Linked DNA regions of Oryctolagus cuniculus. The protein of the gene in region 1 purifies or fractionates together with the protein of each later gene. This does not show direct contact. Links are inferred from orthologs where the notes say so. Each region holds a gene or a part of one and is shown in the gene's direction. Other genes may lie near its edges.

Region 1 (4,411 bases):
AACTTGAGAAGGCATAGTAGTGAATATGTTGTGATAGTGTCTGTCATCTTTTTAGGTGAGGTGGAGAAATACAATCGGGAAATGGAAGAGAAAGCAGCATTGATTATCCAGAAACACTGGAGAGGGTACAGGGAAAGGAAAAATTTTCGCCAACAGAGGCCATTTCTCACAGAGTATAAAGCAGCCATCACACTTCAAAGAGCAGTGAGTCTGATGTAGTAAAAACAGCTCTGGATTAGGAGGCAAAAGCATGGGTTCAAACCTGACTTTGGAATTTACTGCCTTGCTCAAGTGACTTAGCTTTCTAGAGCCTTAGATTTTTCCTTTATAGAGTAAGAAGCTCCTTACCTCTGGCCAAGCTGATTTAGACATGTGGTCTTTAGTACTGGGTAGAACCTTGTACATCATTTACCATGCTGCAGTGCTGTTGTTTTTCTTTCCTGGGCTACAAGTTCCTCAAGGATGAGAAACTAAGTCTTATTTATTGTTATCAGCTCTCAGCATGTGCTTGGTATATGAATTAATAGGTGTTTACCCTACCTTTTTCACTTAGATGTTATGTGGACCAGGTGACCTAATATATGGGAATATATTTTGTAAATTGCAAAGTCCTGTGCTAGTATAGCGTATCATATTTAATTTTTTTAAATATATAGGTTAAGTATTAGTATACTTAGATCAGTGTAACTATTGAATTGAGGAATATTGTTGTTAAGTGATAATTTTCCTGGGAATTACCCACAGCAGAGTAACATGGAGAAGCACAGCACAAGACTGGTTTTTTGTTTTTGTTTTTTTCATTTAATTACCTATTTCATTTAATTACCTATTTCTATTTAATTACCAATTCTCCTAATATCCATTTATTCTGTTATACATGGTTAAGCTTCATATTAAGATCTCAGGTCTTGAAGCAGTAAGTTTAATATTCCCTTATTGTTGAACAAAAGGTCAATTTCAGTTTTTCACAAAGATAGATTTTGAACATTCTCTGTAATTAACTTTTTATAAAGATATTTTAAAGTCATCCAAAATGCAGTAGAATAAACACTAGGGAGATAAAAATATCTTCCACCTTCTCCTCCTTTATGCCTCTTTGGATACCTGAGGTTGTATCTGCAACAAATAGCCCTGCACTGACTTACATGTAATCCCCTTTGCTAAACAAGGCCATCTAAGAATTAACCCAATGATGTCAAGAGGGACCCTTGGCTCCCTTCTAATTCTTTTACTTCATGGCTACCTCCTTTTGAGTCTCCCATCCCGAAGAATTAGCTTGACCCTTATTAAGTTGATGTACTAGCTTGCCTAATACTTTGTAAAGGGCCATTTAGTATATGGTGAGATCCCAGGTTTTCTCCCAGTCCTTAGAGAAGCAGTGGTTATCAGAGGAAAATAAATGAGGCCTATGAAGGCAGTGTTGTTCAGGCTTTCATACTTCTCAGTGGCACAAGAGGAAAGAGATGAGTTAAGTTTGCTTCATATTTTCCCAACCCCCATAAAGGAATATAAGTCTTTGTTGAAGTAAGAACAAAACGGGATGAGTCAAGGTCATGTTTATAGTCTTTGCATCTCACTACTTAAAATGACAGTGAAGCCAAAGCAAAGCTAGCCAAAATGGAAAAGGGAATGAGCATCACTTTCAAAAAGAGAAAGAAAAATGGAAAAGTGTAGAGGGAAAAAAAAGAAAAGTAGTAGGGAAATTAGAGCAGAGAAATATCAGTAAAGGGCACATTATGCAATATTTTGAAAACATTCTTCTTTAAGATGCACTGTAGATGTACAAAGGCCCTTAAGCACATGTGGCTATGGAGTACTTGATATATAGTTATATATGTAACTTTATAGGTGCTATAATTGTTAAATACCCACCAGATTTTAAAAATTGGTATAAAAAAGGAAAAACTATCTTAACACTTTTACATGTTAACTATCTTAACTTTTTTACATGTTGAAATTCTAGCAACTTATGTATATTGTTATGATATTTTACATAATTCACTATATACAAAAATTAGTTCGCTCATTTTTTTACTTTTTTATATAGCTACTAGAAAATTTTAAATTATATTTGTAACTTTCATTATATTTCCATTTGCACTGAAATTGAACTGGGTAAGAAAGAAAAGGAAATACTTCATCAACTTCATTGAAAATTACAGAAGAGGGATATCCTTTTCATGAACTTGTCCATCAGGAGGAACCGGTTGTTAGTGTCTTTGACAGAGCAAGAAATAAAAGCCAGACTTTACCTACCTTTTGCCCTACTCTTACTTTGTGTGAAAGCAGCAGCATTGTTTCTCCAGTAACTAAAATTTGGGAAATTGAGAAAATGTTATTATATAACATTACTTGCCTTTTCTAAATTATCTATCCTTTCAGTGTTGAAATTAAATTTAAAGAATGGCTGCATTTCCCTTTTTAATGTTCTACTATTTGCTTATCTTACTGTCTCATCTCTTAAAATCAAAGGAAGAAGCCAGAATGATGGCTAATTCTTCATACTAGATTATAGCATAAAAGTACCATAACACTATTATTTGTGTCCATCCATGACTAACCACAAGAAAACTTACTGGAACAAACCATTGGCAGTAAGAAAATAAATACAAATCAGGAGATAAATGAAATTTCAGAGTCCTACAATGACAAAGTATGATGAAAAGTGATAAGAGAGAGGGCACAGAGGCTTTTTTGATTTAGGAGCAGAGAGAAGTTCCCAGGAAAGCATCATAATTTTGAGGTGGTACCAAAAAACAGGGGGTATAAGACAGATAAGGAGAAACAGAAAAGAAAAATCAAGGAAAAGGAAGAATAGAAGGAAAGGAGAGGGACAGGTATTTGGCCTAGCAGTTAAGACACTCATATCATATTGGAGACCTAAACATGAGTTTAGGTCTTGACTCTGCTTCAGATTCCAGCTTCCTGCTCATGTGCATTTTGGGAGGCAGTAGTGATGACTCAGGAAGCCACATGGGAAATCTGCAGAGTTCCTGGCTTGGCTTCAGCACCTGGCAGGAGCTGTTACAAGCTTTCAGAGAGTGAGCCAGTACATGGGAGCTTGTTTGCATGCTCTTCCTCCCAGTCCATCTCCCCATCTCTCTCAAATGAATAAAAATTTAAAAACAAAATACTACTCTATACAAATGGTCCCTGACTTAAAATTTATGTGAAAGCAATATCCATTCAGTAAAAACTATATCATGTTATTAGGTAAGTTAGGTGTATTAAAAGCATTTTTGACTTAGAATATTTTCAACAATGTATTTATTGGGATGTAACCCTATGGTAAGTTGAGGAACAGCTGTATATTTAAAAACATCACTATCTTCCCTCCTCTATCACATTCCCATCTTCCTCCTCATACACTCAGAGATAAGAACTCTTGCAATGGTGTCACTATCATGTTTTAGGAAGAAAAAATGTTTTATTAGTGGAGAAAAACCACAAATATTCTTTTTTGCCTCCCAGGCTCTTAAATTCCTCGCAAAGTGCCGTAAGAAAAAGAAGTTAGTTTCTCCTTGGCAAGGACTCCAAGAACTCACCGATGCACGCAGAGTTGAGCTGAAGCAACGAGTGGATGACTATGTCAGAAGACATCCAGTATGTAGGCGTCTGTATCATAGTATCCATATTTTACCCTATTCCATTGCACAGTGTTTGCTGACAGTATGCTTATGGTTAGTATAAGATAAGTTAAGATAGACTTATGGATCTAGAGTCATTTTATGGATACATGGCCTTATGGTACAGTGTAAAGGGGGCTTTGCTTCAAATAATTATTTCCCATACTAAATCACCACTTCTTTTGTAATAGTACAGCAAAATTTTAGCTAGTTTGAGCCGTCCAGAAAAAAAGTATATGTGGCTGTAGGTCAAAGATATTCATTCTTACATATGTACACTTAAACATCCATATTCACACATGTGAAAAGATTTAAAACAAACACTTCACTCAAAGGAGATAAACAGGTGATAAATAAACACAAGAAAAGGTACATCTTAGTCATTAGAGAAAGTGCAAATTAAAACCACAATAGGCAGTCAGTCTGTTTCTCTGTTTCTCTGTCTCTGCATTTTAAATGAATAAAAATAATTTTTAAAAAAATCGAGATAGACATTTGATAGAATAGTTAAGGTGCCACTTGAGATGCCTGTATCCCATATTGGAGTGCCTGGATTCTAGTCCTAGCTTTGCTTCCCATTCTAACTTCCTGCTAATGTGAGCCCTGAGAAGAGGTAGCAGGTGATGGCTTAAGTGTTTGGGTACCTACTACTCCTGGATGGAGTTGTGGATTCCTGACTTCAGCCTTGTACAAGAGAGCAAACCAGCAGATAGAATCAATGTCTTTCTATCTCTGTCTCCCTGCCTATCCATCTGTCTATCATCTATTTTTCTATCTCTTTGTCT
Region 2 (4,411 bases), on another chromosome or scaffold:
ATTTTAGCCTCTTGATATATACCTTTACATAATTGCTGCTTTCCCTCCTGTTTGTCTAAGATTTCAGAAATCTTTAAAATGGTGGGCCAAAATCATGTTATCATCATTTCTCCACTAAACTAAGAAATCTGGCTGATTCCAAAGGGAGTCTTGAATGCAAGGTAGAATTCAGGGCTGGCTGGACGATTGCCTCCGTCAATGTTTGCCGGTCATCTACTAGTTATCTGTCACGTGATAGGCACTGTTGTAGTACGGGGAATGCAGCAGTGAGCACAGCCCTTGCCCTCTATGAAGCTGATGCTCAGATAGGGGTACATAAAGACATTTGACATCTTTCCTGTGTATTTTCACTTGCTGCTGATAAAAGACATAAGCTTTTCATGAGCCCCAAATCATAGTTAACTGGCATTATGACTAGCTCTGTGTTCTTGTTTGGCCACTGAAGAAATGAGGCTTGTATGAAAGAATGTGTCAGGCTGTGCAGTGAAACTGATCAACATAAATCCGTGACACCACAAGCCACCAGAAAGTGTTCTGCTGTGCTCCCTCCAGAATGATCGTGTTTGCCATGTTGGCCCCTTTAATGTCCAGCCTCTCATGTGCCCCTCAGGCAGCCAAGGCCAGGAAGATACGCTCATCACTGCTTTGTCAAGGGCCCGACGTGTCGTCCGGCTTTTGCCTTGAAGTTTGGCAAGGATAGTGTCAGTTGACACATCACCCTGGTTTTAAGATGTCTTTAGATTATAGTTACATGCTTCAATTTTGTTTCATTCTATGATTTCTTTCTTCGCTTTTCACATTAACTTCTAATTTGAGTTTAGAATGTGTCTTAAGGTGAATTCTAAAATTGATCTAATAAATATTGTATATATAGAAGTCTTAAGATAAAAGAAATGCTAAATGACCCTAAGAGAGTTGAAATTCCTGTATTAAATCTGTTCCATTAGCTTTACTCTTCTATCCATCCATCCTCTGGTTGTTAACATGATAGTTTTAATTTTAAAATGGTCTTAAAGCCCCAGTTGTGTCATTTTTAATCGGATGTTATATAAAATCATTTAGTGTAATAGAACTTCCTTGCAGGGGCTTTCAGGGAATACCAGTTTGTTAATGTCTAAATCTATAATAACTTCATTCCAATAAGTTTCCTTTGAATTAAATTATTTAACCGATGTTTTCTCAGAAAACCCAAACTTTCAAATTCATTCTTTTAAATGTAAGTGAAACAGCTTCACATACTTTTAAAAAAAAAAAGTCATCTAAAAATATGGGAGAGAGGGCAACAAATATATTTTCCCTGAATATTTGAGTAAAAGCAGTACATTAAAAGACCAATGAAGCGTTTTCTCTCATACAGTTTCTCAAACAGTAGTGACCAACTCAGCGTGTGTTTGTACCTCTCCTTACCTGATGCTCATGGTTCTTTGCATGTGTCTTTTAAACTAGAGCTTTAACTTCCTCTTGTGCATGGTTTGTGCGAATTGCAGTTTATTAACTTGTCTTTGTCTTTGATGCTTGCAACCTAATCCATCACAGCTACACTGCCTCGAAAAGAAAGTGCTGGCAAACAGGAAACAGAGAGTGAGTATGCTTAGTGTATTAGTAGGTGTTCTCCATGCATGTCTGTTTACTGTCTAGAAATTAGTTACTTGTCTTGAAAGAAGTTAACCCCAGAAACATCAGTTGCTCTGAATTGCCAGGTATTGGTGAAAAGTCAACAACAATGTGATGGTAGTGATACGGCTACATCCGAGAAATGTGCAGTATTGGTACAAGTATACGACCAGTAGAACTGTGTGTCAGAAGCTCACGAAAAGGCTTAATCATTATACTTCTGTTTTCAGGCTGTGTCTAGAAATTATAAAATGTCTTATATATATGGTCAGATCTTGCATAATAAAGCCAAAATTTGTCTCAAGTCCTTATTAGTCTTCATTTGAACCTTCTGACCACTAGTAAATGGTATGTTAACTGACAAATATTCAAGAAAAATGTTTTAAAACTATTTCATGTATTGTTGTTACTTCATTTTGAATAAAGCAATCACATTTTCTTCTAAAAATTTAATCCTTTAATTCCTTGGTGTACATGGGGTATTGTCCAGCTCTGTGTTCTCATTTTTCCTGCTTAAACACCAGTGCCCGGGCTGATGGGTAGTGACGTGTACATGGCATTTCCACTGTATTTGAAGTATAGCAGGTTTTCAGGCTGCCCTTTTCTCTTCATGTTATTTAGTTTTAAAAGAGCTATGGTTAATTCACTTACTGGAAATGCAGAGGTTCTGGGTTTAGGAACATATTAAATCAAATCATATATAATTGACTTTTTTGTATAGAGCAAAATGATCAAGTATTGATAGACTTGTTGTTTTGACACAGAGGCAAGTAACACTGGGATATGGGATTTTTAGTGGCAGGTAGAGCAGTCATGTTAGTAGGTTTCCATGGTGCTCCGTGCCCATCAGCTGTATTTCTGTCTTCTGACTGGGAAGGAAACCCTCCCGCCTTCAGTCTAGAGATACCACCACGCACCTTTACGGTGGGGCAGAGATACATGGTCTGTAGAGGCCCTTTCAGTGCCATTCTGTGGATCTGTGTAGTTTTGTCCTTTACAGAATGCTCAGCAGTAGGACACAGAGTTAATGAAAGGTAAGTACACAGTACAGCCTGTCCCATATGGTGGCCTTGTGCACTGGAACACCAAAACAGTGGAAGATAGCACTGAATTTTACTCTGGATCGTTTATTCCTGGAGATTACGACTTTCAGTCTTATTATCTCTTAGGTCTTCATGGAAGTTCCGGGAAGTTAACTGGATCTACTTCTAGTCTAAATAAACTCAGCGTTCAGAGTTCAGGGAATCGCAGATCTCAGTCATCATCTCTGTTGGATATGGGGAACATGTCTGCCTCTGACCTCGATGTTGCTGACAGAACCAAGTTTGATAAGGTAAAGTAGAGCAACAAGTGGTTTTTAAACATTAGCGTCAGTTTTCTTATAACTGCATTTTGTGATTGCTTCAGTATTTGAAAATTTTGGTGCTTTTGGCTGCCTTTAATAATCATGTCTTACTTGCAAATTCTGAAGCAAATCTTTAAAAAAAAGTACTAGTCACATGGCAGCTAAAATGTGAAGTATCAATTCAGTAACAAAAGCCTTATTAACCTGTATTTGTGGTAAATCATAAAGTGCTTATATCTCATCTAAATTCTTTGAGCAACTATGAATCAAGAGGATATAATAGCTTTTCTGTTCTCTGTGTTATAAATAAGTTTTAAAAGTATATCTGCATATCCTTCTTTCCAGATCTGAAGTGAATGTAACTGTTTTACTTTAGGTATGTCCTGTAATCTTGTTATTTTGTCAATTTTGGAAGTTTGTCTTTGGAGTTCTATTAAGTTTATAGATCCATGGATAGAGGTTACTGATATTAAGCATTTGCTACAGTTCTTTCATTACAGGATCATTTTGGTTTTCTTCAGATCTTTGAACAGGTACTCAGTGAACTGGAGCCCCTGTGTTTGGCCGAACAGGATTTCATAAGTAAATTTTTCAAACTGCAGCAACATCAGAGTATACCTGGAGCTATGGTATGACTCCCATTTATTTCAGCTAATATTTATGATCTTCAGCATAATTAGTCTGATTAATATGTACTCACAAGTTCGACGTTAATAGAAAAGGAAAGGAAAGGATTTACAATGTAAGCGTCATTAAAACAATTCTTGTCATATCACAAAATAATAAAAACAGTGATAGTTGGAGTTGGGGCATACTTTAATATTCCGGAATATCTTAAGTCTAATCATTTGCTCAACTATGGGGTGGGAGGAGTGTCTCATTTTGCTTTGTGAAAAGGTTGGTTACAAGCTATTTTAGGGGGACATTCACCTAGCGGTTAAGTCGCTGCTTAGAACACCTGCATCCCATATCAGAGCACCTGATTTGAGTCCCAAGTACTTGGTTTCCAATCCAGTTCCTGCTGATGTGCACCCTGGGAAGCAGCAGGTGATGGTTCAAGAATTGGGGCCCCTACCACCCACATGGGAGACCCACCCAAATGGCGTTCAAAGCTCCTGGCTGTGACTTAGCGGTTGTGGGCACTTGGGAGTAAATCAGCAGATGGAAGACCTCTGTCTGCTTCTCTGTGTCTCTGCCTTTAGTTTTTAAAGATTTATTTTATTTATTTGAAAGACAGAGGTAGAAACAGAGAGAGGTCTTCTATCCGTTGGTTCACTCCCCGAATGACCATGATGGCCAGAGCTGAGCCCATCTGAAGCCAGGAGCCAGGAACTTCTTCCGGGTCTTCCAGGTGGGTGCAGGGGCCCAAGGACTTGGGCTATCCTTCATTGCTTTCCCAGGCACATTATCAGGGAGCTAGATCAGAAATGGAAAAGCCAGTACTTGAACCAG

What was found.
Region 2: the proteins of IQCB1 (region 1) and EXOC1 purify together in Homo sapiens (affinity purification with mass spectrometry; 3 studies listed by BioGRID and IntAct, counting the BioPlex papers as one, with this or other methods). This does not show direct contact. The link is inferred for Oryctolagus cuniculus from reciprocal best matches to the Homo sapiens genes IQCB1 and EXOC1.

What each region holds. Positions count from the first base shown.
Region 1 is NC_091435.1:78,062,160-78,066,570, reverse strand, and holds part of IQCB1 (IQ calmodulin-binding motif-containing protein 1), read left to right. Parts: intron 1-55; coding exon 56-204; intron 205-3,471; coding exon 3,472-3,603; intron 3,604-4,411. UniProt on the Homo sapiens protein: Involved in ciliogenesis. The function in an early step in cilia formation depends on its association with CEP290/NPHP6.
Region 2 is NC_091439.1:108,598,749-108,603,159, reverse strand, and holds part of EXOC1 (exocyst complex component 1), read left to right. Parts: intron 1-1,536; coding exon 1,537-1,581; intron 1,582-2,783; coding exon 2,784-2,947; intron 2,948-3,480; coding exon 3,481-3,588; intron 3,589-4,411.